2 linked regions of the Mus musculus genome follow. The protein of the gene in region 1 purifies or fractionates together with the protein of each later gene. This does not show direct contact. Links are inferred from orthologs where the notes say so. Each region holds a gene or a part of one and is shown on either strand. Other genes may lie near its edges.

Region 1 (4,616 bases):
ATTTATAAAGCAGCAGGGTTGGTCCCTGTGTGTATATATCTGCAGGTGCTTATTCCCTCGTTTCTTCTTTTTGAGAAAGGGGTCTTGCTATGTAGATCAGGCTAGCCCTGAGCTCACAGGGATCCAACTGCCTTTGCCTTGGGGGTGACACCAGCCCCAGTTTACATGTCTTCTATAGAAGACAGTTCAGACTTCAGTTTTTTTTTTTTTTTTTTTAAGAAAGTTTCACAGTGTATCCCTGGTTGGCCTCAGGCTAACTTTGTAGACCAGACTGGCTTTAAACTTCTAGGCAATCCTCTAGCCCCTGCCTCCCAAGTGCTGAGATTATAGGAGTGAGGTGCTCTACCCAGCTCCTGACTATTCTTCCAAAGATAAGCCATTTGTTTTTGCTTAATCTTTGTTTTACCTTCAAGTATAAAAGGACTCTTAGTTCCCCACCTTCTGGTGTATGGTCAAGCGCTCTGTGGGAGCGCACTGTTGGGGAGTGTCTTCCTCACTTTCTGGCACAAATCATCCCCATAAGGCAGGCATTTATTTTTAAGCAAACAGTTACTGTGTGCCAGATGGTATTCGTGCATTATCTCGTTTAACCCACTCAACAGCCGCATGGCTCTGCCCGTGGAGTAACAACACTACTTCTTGTTTGCTTCTCCGAGAGCATTTTCTGCTCACAGCCACCCTCTGAAGAACACTTACTCTCCCTGCTTGTCAGATCAGGAGACTAAGGTGTGGACAGGTTAAGAGCACGGGGCTGTGGAGGCAGCGTGGGGACTTCAGGCATGAGTGGGTTAACTCAGAGCTCCCATTCTTCCTACGCCTCCCACTACCGCCCATCAGCACTCTCATTCGCCCAGTAGGGAAACTGAGGGCCCAGAATAGATGTGCCTTGCACACTGTCAGCTCCGAGCCTTGTGAAGCTCGACCCAGGGACCCTCGCTGGAAGGAATACCTGAGCTCCTCGTCAGAGCCCATTTTCCTTAACGAAGTATCTCCTACTCCCCCCGACGTGGGGGTCTCTGGAGTCCTCCTCAGTTACATTGTTCAGGACCTCATGGAGACAGACCTGTACAAGCTGCTTAAAAGCCAGCAGCTGAGCAATGACCACATCTGCTACTTCCTCTACCAGATCCTCCGGGGCCTCAAGTATATACACTCAGCCAATGTGCTGCACCGGGACCTGAAGCCTTCCAATCTGCTTATCAACACCACCTGCGACCTTAAGGTCAGAGGTTAAATGCCTCCCTCCCTCTCCTTCCCTGGTCCTGGGGCCTCTGGGTGGCTAGCAAGAGCAGCCTTGGAACGTGGCAAGCAAGAACAAAACAGTCAGGGCAGGGGCACTTCCTAGGCCGGGGAAGCCTTGGGCAATGTAGTTCAGTGGCCTGGGTTTGATTCCAGATCTGTGATTTTGGCCTGGCCCGGATTGCTGACCCTGAGCACGACCACACTGGCTTTCTGACGGAGTATGTGGCCACACGCTGGTACCGAGCCCCAGAGATCATGCTTAATTCCAAGGTAGGAGAGTTTCCCATGTCTGCGAGGGAGTCCTAGAGCCATCTCAGGGCCTAGGCACAATCCCGCTGACCCTTGGGCCTTAGCAAGATGTAGAGAGTAGAGTTTTCCTCGGCTCTGTCCTCTGCCCTTTGCTGTGTTAGATCTAAGTTGGATATGGTGCCTGTCCCAAATACTGGGAATGGCCCTGATGAGGCTGGCCGGGAAGCTCAGCACACTTTCCCCCTAGGGCTACACCAAATCCATCGACATCTGGTCTGTGGGCTGCATTCTGGCTGAGATGCTCTCCAACCGGCCCATCTTCCCCGGCAAGCACTACCTGGACCAGCTCAACCACATTCTAGGTGCGAGGGCCTGTCTGGCCGAGAGGGGTGGGGGTTAGCTTCTCAGAGGTGACATTTCTGGAGGGTGAGAATTAGGTACCACATATGGAGCCTCCTCCAGCATCTCACGGTATTTCTTCCCATTTGAAAGCTGGGGAAAGCAAGGCTAAGCCGTACCCCTGAGAAGACTGCAGCCAGAGTCTGAGCCCAGGGCTCCCTGGTTCTCCGCTCTCTGCCCTTCGTCGCTACCCCAGTGGGTAGATGGGGAGGACTGGCGGCACGTGGCTGGGCTTGGGCTCCTGGCGGCACGTGGCTGGGCTTGGGCTCCTGGTCTTGCTTCCTGACCTGTTGCCAGAAGGAGGACTGATCTTCTCACCAAGACAACTGGTTTCTCCGCAGGTATCTTGGGTTCCCCATCCCAGGAGGACCTTAATTGCATCATTAACATGAAGGCCCGAAACTACCTGCAGTCTCTGCCCTCGAAAACCAAGGTGGCTTGGGCCAAGCTCTTTCCTAAATCTGACTCCAAAGGTGAGTGAAGCAGAGGATCCGGGGTAGGCTAAAACCCAGCGGCAAAGAAGAGTGTGTGACCCTAACGCCTGCCTCAGTAGATAGCCACCCCCCCCAGGCACTGGACAAGGGATGTCCATGGGATTCCTTTAGCCTTCCTCCTGACTGCTGCCCCCTGCCTTGCCTTAGCTCTTGACCTGCTGGACCGGATGTTAACCTTCAACCCAAACAAGCGCATCACAGTAGAGGAAGCGCTGGCTCACCCTTACCTGGAACAGTACTACGATCCGACAGATGAGGTGAGCCGGTCACCAGCGGCGGGGAGGGGGGCTAGTATCCCAAGTGCCCAGCCTGGGCCTCACCGTCTTTGCCCCCTAGCCAGTGGCCGAGGAGCCATTCACCTTCGACATGGAGCTGGATGACCTCCCCAAGGAGCGGCTGAAGGAGTTGATCTTCCAGGAGACAGCCCGCTTCCAGCCAGGGGCGCCAGAGGGCCCCTAACAAGAACAGACACCCCTGTCCTTTTGGATCTGGTGAGTGCCTCCCAAGGCCCCCCCGCACAGCCACATCCCAGTCAGAGGCTGTCCAGTCTGGGTGCTGCTGCATCATCTCTGCATATCCACATGTGGTAACAACAAAGGGCCAGGGTCATGTATGAGCGAGCATCCTCCAGCCCATCCGGATGAGAGATCCGCCCCTTATGAGCAGCCACTCCAGGCCTTGCCAGAGTATATCATGATGCTTTGAGAGGAGCCTATAATCACAGTAGCACTTGGTGGCTGCTCTTGTTAGCTGCAGATAAGGAAGCCAAGACCCACAGAACTTGACAGTTCAAAGACGCTGGGGTCAGGGCTCACCCCGCTGACCATTCCTTTCTGTCCGTTTCTTCCTTCAGGTCCTGCTCCTACCTGCTCCTTCTCTGCAGATTGTTAGAAAGTGAACTTTGCTCAACCCAGACCCCGGCAGCCCAGGCTGGACCAAGGGTGGGCCTGGCCACCTTCTCTCACTTTGCTGGGGTCTCCTGCTTCAAGCAGGCTTCTCCCACTCCAATCCCCTGCCCCATCTCCCCATAGCCTGAGTGATGAGGTGGCCCCAGAGCTGATCTCTGCTGCTGTGTCTTTATCTACCCTTGCTAGCCCCGGCTCTGGTAGACCGTTCTGGAATGGAGGGGCTATGATCGTCCTAGGACCTGTGCTACGGAGGGGTGGAGGGCACTGAGTAGGGCTCTGCCCTATTCATCTTGTTGGAACCCCACCCCATTTTCCCTGACAGAACATTCCTAAGTCTCAAGGGCTAGTTTCCCTGAGGAGCCCAGGCCTAACCCTCTCTCTCTCAAGCTGCCACATGTAACGCCCTTGCTGCTTCTGTGTGTGGGTGATTGGATGTGGGGGTGGGGCCCGTGGAGAGCCGGTGCCCCTCCCCATCTCCCCGTGCCTGTATCTAATATATAAATATAGAGATGTGTATATGGATGAGCCTGCCTCTGTCTGTGTATGTCGACGCGACCCCAGCATACCGCACTCACAACTGCCCCCTGCCTCCAGCTGTGGCTTTACATGGCCCTGGTAGTCTTTGGCTCCAGCTGGCCAGGGATGAGGTTGGGTTCTAAGGAGTGTCAGTCTCTGGGAAGGGGTCAGTTTCCCTTTAGTCACTGTCTTCCCTAACAACTTCCTGTTTAACTGCTTGGAGTGAGTTGGGGTGACTCAGGGGTACCTTACACACCCCCAAATTCCCGGGAAGTGGCAAATGTGTAATAAGTTACAGATCCTGTCCACAAACACCTATGGGAGGCAGAAAGATCTAAACACTAGGGGGTGGGGCTGCTTAACCCCCCCCCCCACATGGTCAAGAACAAAAGGGGGTGCTGGGATCTGTGAAAGGTCTCTGGACATGGAACCCAGGGCTGCCTGCCTCAGTTCCTGTGCCTGGCCCCAGCTCTGGGCCATACTGCAGTCTGGCCACGTTCCAGCAGCACCCAGCAGGCTCAGCAGGTCCATGGGCGTGGCGCTGCCCGGTGGAGGAGCCAGCCTACACTGGCTGAGCAGGCAGGCTCGGCCCCGGGCATCAGAGCCCTTTGGGACAGGGAAGGCTGTGCTTTTGACAGAAGCCTGCCGTGGAGCGAGGCTATGATCCCTCTCCTGTACTTTGTTCTGCCCACCCTGGGCAGTTACGTCATGCTCTCCATCTTCTTCCTGCGCCGACCTCATCTGCTGCACACGCCGCGGGCTCCCGTCTTCCCTATCCGCCTGGCTGCCCACCGTGGAGGTGAGCTGA
Region 2 (5,172 bases), on another chromosome or scaffold:
ACCTGTAACAGATGGGGAAGGATCTGGGGGCGTCAGCTGCAGCACAGGCCTACCCCAGCGGGAGTTGGAAGCTAGCCAATGAAATATGGGCGTTTTGTTCCCAGTGCTGCCCAAAAAAGGCGCGGAGAGAGGTTGGAGGCAACCCCCATTTTCATCAAAACGCTCCTTCTGGGGCGCCTGCCTGCGGGAGGGCTCCAAAATTGGCTACTTGGACCTCCAAGTCGCCCTGTTTTAGCCCACATTTCCCAAACCCCGGAAGAGGCGGGTGATTAAAAATGCAAATTGCTTTGCGGGCGACAGTAGGTAGGACCCGGCTGCGAGGCGCTGGGCTGGGGAGATCCCGTGACCTTAGACGCCCTCCGCGCCCCGGATTCGGGAAGGGCCGCAGCCGGCGCTTCCGCCTCCCGGTCGCGGCCGGACAAAGCCCAGCTCCTTTCCCTGGGACCCGAGGGGCTGACCGGATCGGGACGCGCGCCTTCCGCAGGGCCCGCCGTCGCCGCACACAGGTGGTTTTCCGTCCGGGAGGGGCGGCCTCTGCACTTTTATATAACAATAGAACCGAGCGCGCCGGGGATGCGCTCTTGTCGCCGTCGCGGCCCCCGCCGGCCACGCCTCCATCCGGCTCCGGTGCCGCCTCCGTCCTGAGTTGCCTGCGGGTGGTGCCCATGAGACTTCCCAACCCTAACTCTGGAACCATGGGGTCCAGACAGGGACACCTCTGGCTCCTTTTCCGCTCCAGGTCTCTCACTAGGCGACGGTTCCGCGACGGCCTTACAAGCGATCACGGGGTCGTCGCGTGTCCTGCCCCCCCCCCCCCATCCCCCAGAGCAGCAATGCTGCGGCCAAAGCGCAGCGCGCAAGCGCGTTTGGAGCTGCTAGCGTGCTCCTTGCGGGGCCCGGGGACCGCTGCAGCCTAGAAAGGATAGGGGACCGGCCTCTGTCCACAACCGCCACTGTTTACGCTTGAGTTCCCGCAGGCTTGCAGGTCTCCGGGGTGCAGGAAACGTTGGTGAGGCCTGTCGTCCCAGGCACCTAACCTAGGCTGCCTTGCCAGACCGGTTCCTCTTAGAAACCAAACTCTGCTCTTGGCTCCAGATCGTTAAAGGAGCTCGACTCCCCAGGCTCGATGGGTGACCGGTGATGGTGGTGGGGAGCAAGATCTCCGGAACAATGGCTCAGAATGCCCCCACTTCACCGGAGCAGAAGAAAAGTGCAGGGATAGCTGACAAGGTTTTGGGTGCTTACACCACCCGCCCCCCCCCCTCCGCTGCCGCCAAGAAAGTTGAGAAAGCCCGGGGTTGGGGCGCTTCTGGTTTTCTGGACAACCAAACGCTTGTTTGCTTAGTTGCTTTAAAATGTTTCAACAAAACACTAGTTTGTTTCTAGAGATGTTGGATTAGCATTTAACACTTCGTTGGGTCGCTAAAGCCCAGGCAGTCCACCAGTCCCAACACAGCCTCGCCTAAAAGGACATTAGAACAAACAGAACTAGACTTTTAAAAGAGCCAAACAAATGCCACACACGATCTAAAGGAGGACCGGGTTGGGGGTGGGGGAGCAGGGGCGGCGCTATGGCGGGCTTGGATCTAGCGTTAAAGAGAATTAAAAAGGGGGAAAACCCCTCAAGTTTTATTAAGGCTAACTTAAGATTGTAAGCGTCGCGAATAAGGGCTTTTGTGCTTGCTAATTGCACTACTGGTGCGCAAGAGTTAGACGCGAAGTGTGAACTCTAAACAGAAGGAAACACGAGACAACTTTAGTGCCCTGGTTTATGTGCCCTGCTCCTCCTCCACCGCCGCCTCCTCTTCTTTCTCCTTCCTCCCGCCGAGCCCGCAGTTGCAGCTTGTTTGCACTGGGGCTTATCCGGAGCGGAAATTCCTTTCCGTTTTTGTGAATGACAAACTCATTAACAATTCATCAACACAACCTGTTCCAGCCGGCCCGTCCCCACGGCAACAGCCCCTTCCGCAGCGCGCTCATTGGCTGACCGAGAGAATGTATCCATTGAGACGCTGGCTGTTTGTATCCATTGAGGAGCTGCCTCGCACAGGGGGTGTGCTCTCGCGGAGTCCTAGGGACTGTGAGCAAACCCAGTCTTGAATAATCCGGCGAGAAACACCGGGTTGGATCCGAGGTGCAGCCTCAGAGGGAAGGATTAAGAGCCGCTAGACTTTTTTTCTTTTCCCTTTTTCTCCTCTCAGTGGCACGGAGTCCGAATTAATTGGATTTCATTCACTGGGTAGGAACAAAACTGGGCACCTTCATTCAGAGAGAGAGATTCATTGACTCGGAGAGTGATCTGGTGCAGAGGGACCACCGACTTGACTTCTGTGTCGCTTTCCCTAACCGCTAGCCTCGGCTTGGGAAAGGCGAGGCGGAATCAAACCCCGCTCCGAGAGCGGGAGCTTCGCGCAGCGTGCTCGGCCTATGCCTGCCTCGAGGGGCGTCTGCTAGGCACCCCGCCTTCTCCTGCAGCTCGACCCCCATGATAGATACGCTCAGACCCGTGCCCTTCGCGTCGGAAATGGCGATCTGCAAGACGGTGTCGTGGCTCAACGAGCAGCTGGAGCTGGGCAACGAACGGCTTCTGCTGATGGACTGCCGACCACAGGAGCTGTACGAGTCGTCACACATCGAATCTGCCATTAATGTGGCCATCCCCGGCATCATGCTGCGGCGTCTGCAGAAGGGCAACCTGCCCGTGCGTGCGCTCTTCACGCGCTGCGAGGACCGGGACCGCTTTACCAGGCGCTGCGGCACCGACACCGTGGTGCTGTACGACGAGAATAGCAGCGACTGGAATGAGAACACTGGTGGAGAGTCGGTCCTCGGGCTGCTGCTCAAGAAACTCAAAGACGAGGGCTGCCGGGCGTTCTACCTGGAAGGTATGTTGTGCGCCCCGGGTGCAGGGCTCCGGGCTGGGACTGCAGGCTGGGGAAAATGTTAGCGAGGTAGCGATCGCCGCTTGCATTGCGCTTAGGGGAGCTAGCTGGGCCACCGTGGTAGCTTCTCCTTCAAGGGTTAATCAGGCACCTTTCTTTGGGTAGGTGTAGGATTAAGGTTCACAAGAGCTGGAAACGTAGTTCAGGGTGCAGCTTGGCACCTCGCAGCTCCTCGAAATATTAAGAAAAGTAATCTTGTGCATTTCCAGATTCAGGAGAATAAGTGTTCCCAGGGTAAGCAGCGGGTAGTGTTCCTAAAGGTGCGCATTGAAGCGTGCTTCTACCACTGCCGGGGGTTCCTAGGGTGCCTGTCCATAGTGTTCTTTGTGCTTCTCACTAGCTGTAAATTACTACAGCTTCTCCGGTTACAAGATTGCTTTTCTTGTTTCTGGCAGGTGGCTTCAGTAAGTTCCAGGCCGAGTTCGCCCTGCACTGCGAGACCAATCTAGACGGCTCGTGCAGCAGCAGTTCCCCGCCTTTGCCAGTGCTGGGGCTCGGGGGCCTGCGGATCAGCTCGGACTCTTCCTCGGACATTGAGTCTGACCTTGACCGAGACCCCAATAGTGCAACGGACTCTGATGGCAGCCCGCTGTCCAACAGCCAGCCTTCCTTCCCGGTGGAGATTTTGCCCTTCCTTTACCTGGGCTGTGCCAAGGACTCGACCAACTTGGACGTGTTGGAAGAGTTTGGCATCAAGTACATCTTGAATGTCACCCCCAATTTGCCCAATCTGTTTGAGAATGCGGGCGAGTTCAAATACAAGCAAATTCCTATCTCGGATCACTGGAGCCAAAACCTGTCCCAGTTTTTCCCTGAGGCCATTTCTTTCATAGGTGAGACTAATTTACAGTCATTCATAGAGTTGAAGATCTTAATCTGTTTTCCTGCAGGCTGTTTTGCTGGACTGCAGGTCTTCTACTGTCTTTAAGAGTGTTAATTCTTGTTTACCTTCTTGCTTAAAGGGAAAACAGGGCCCGTTGACGTAGCAGATCGGGGGACTATTTGAGCCATTTAATTCATACTTTTAAAAGGAGGCTGTTCCAATCAGCCATGTTTTCCTTATCTCTAGACGACAGGATGTGAGAGGAGAGTGAGTTAAAAGCACTCACTTGCAGACAAGAATTCTAGTATTGCATTATAATTAAAAAAATATATCTAGGAGTTATTTTAGGACACCCAAGTTAGTTGTTGGAAAGCAGTTTGAATACTAGCTGTTACCTAGCTGAGTGATACTGCAGGGTACTGGTTACTGTGAGCCTCTGGGTAACCTGATCCCCCGCAGGAAGGACTGTGGGCTGAGAGCCTAAGAGAAGCGAAGCTCCAGGCATTGTAGTGCATTTCCTATTACAAAGGAACTCATTTTCAGGCCATGTAGACATCCTGTTCCTTCTAATGGGCTGTCCCCTGTGACTTCCCTCTCTCTTTTAAAATGCCTGAATACCCCCATTGTTAGCTGCACAACAGTTGGGAGAATAATTTAATAGACCCTTGCAGTCTGCTTGGTCTGTATGAGAGGCATTCAGGACCGGATTGCAGGGTTTCTGGTATTCACAAGTTGAGGCAAGGAATGTACACACATTAAGGAGTTTTTTTGTTGTTAGAAACTTACTACAAAAGCTCCCTTTACAGGAAATAATCTGAAATATGTGATTGTGTTCAGTGTGCATGTTTATCTCCCGTTATACATTTTCTGGTGCCTTCGGGGGCTTAGTTGCCACATATAATTGTTGTTTACTATTCCTTCTGAATTCAGACTTCAGGCTAAGCATTTTGCAAAGGCTTGGTTCCTTTTTTTTTTTCCAGTCTAGTGAACTCTTGCCTTTTTTTGTGTGTGTTCCCGCAGATGAAGCCCGAGGCAAAAACTGTGGTGTCCTGGTGCATTGCTTGGCAGGTATCAGCCGCTCTGTCACCGTGACAGTGGCGTACCTCATGCAGAAGCTCAACCTGTCCATGAACGATGCTTACGACATTGTTAAGATGAAGAAGTCCAACATCTCCCCCAACTTCAACTTCATGGGCCAGCTGCTTGACTTCGAAAGGACCCTGGGACTGAGCAGCCCTTGTGACAACCGTGTCCCCACTCCGCAGCTGTACTTCACCACGCCCTCCAACCAGAACGTCTACCAGGTGGACTCCCTGCAGTCTACGTGAAAGGCACCCACCTCTCCTAGCCGGGAGTTGTCCCCATTCCTTCAGTTCCTCTTGAGCAGCATCGACCAGGCTGCTTTCT

The links. Proteins that work in one complex are often made in the same cells at the same time.
Region 2: the proteins of Mapk3 (region 1) and Dusp6 purify together in Homo sapiens (affinity purification with mass spectrometry; 7 studies listed by BioGRID and IntAct, with this or other methods). This does not show direct contact. The link is inferred for Mus musculus from reciprocal best matches to the Homo sapiens genes MAPK3 and DUSP6.

What each region holds. Positions count from the first base shown.
Region 1 is NC_000073.6:126,762,003-126,766,618, forward strand, and holds the end of Mapk3 (mitogen-activated protein kinase 3), read left to right. Parts: intron 1-1,032; coding exon 1,033-1,222; intron 1,223-1,395; coding exon 1,396-1,512; intron 1,513-1,738; coding exon 1,739-1,853; intron 1,854-2,231; coding exon 2,232-2,363; intron 2,364-2,531; coding exon 2,532-2,641; intron 2,642-2,720; coding exon 2,721-2,843; 3' UTR 2,844-2,875; intron 2,876-3,237; 3' UTR 3,238-3,814; downstream 3,815-4,616. Other genes in the region: lysophospholipase D GDPD3, read left to right, coding at 4,469-4,607.
Region 2 is NC_000076.6:99,261,207-99,266,378, forward strand, and holds the start of Dusp6 (dual specificity protein phosphatase 6), read left to right. Parts: upstream 1-2,024; 5' UTR 2,025-2,485; coding exon 2,486-2,885; intron 2,886-3,337; coding exon 3,338-3,775; intron 3,776-4,785; coding exon 4,786-5,093; 3' UTR 5,094-5,172. UniProt on the Homo sapiens protein: Dual specificity protein phosphatase, which mediates dephosphorylation and inactivation of MAP kinases. Has a specificity for the ERK family. Plays an important role in alleviating chronic postoperative pain.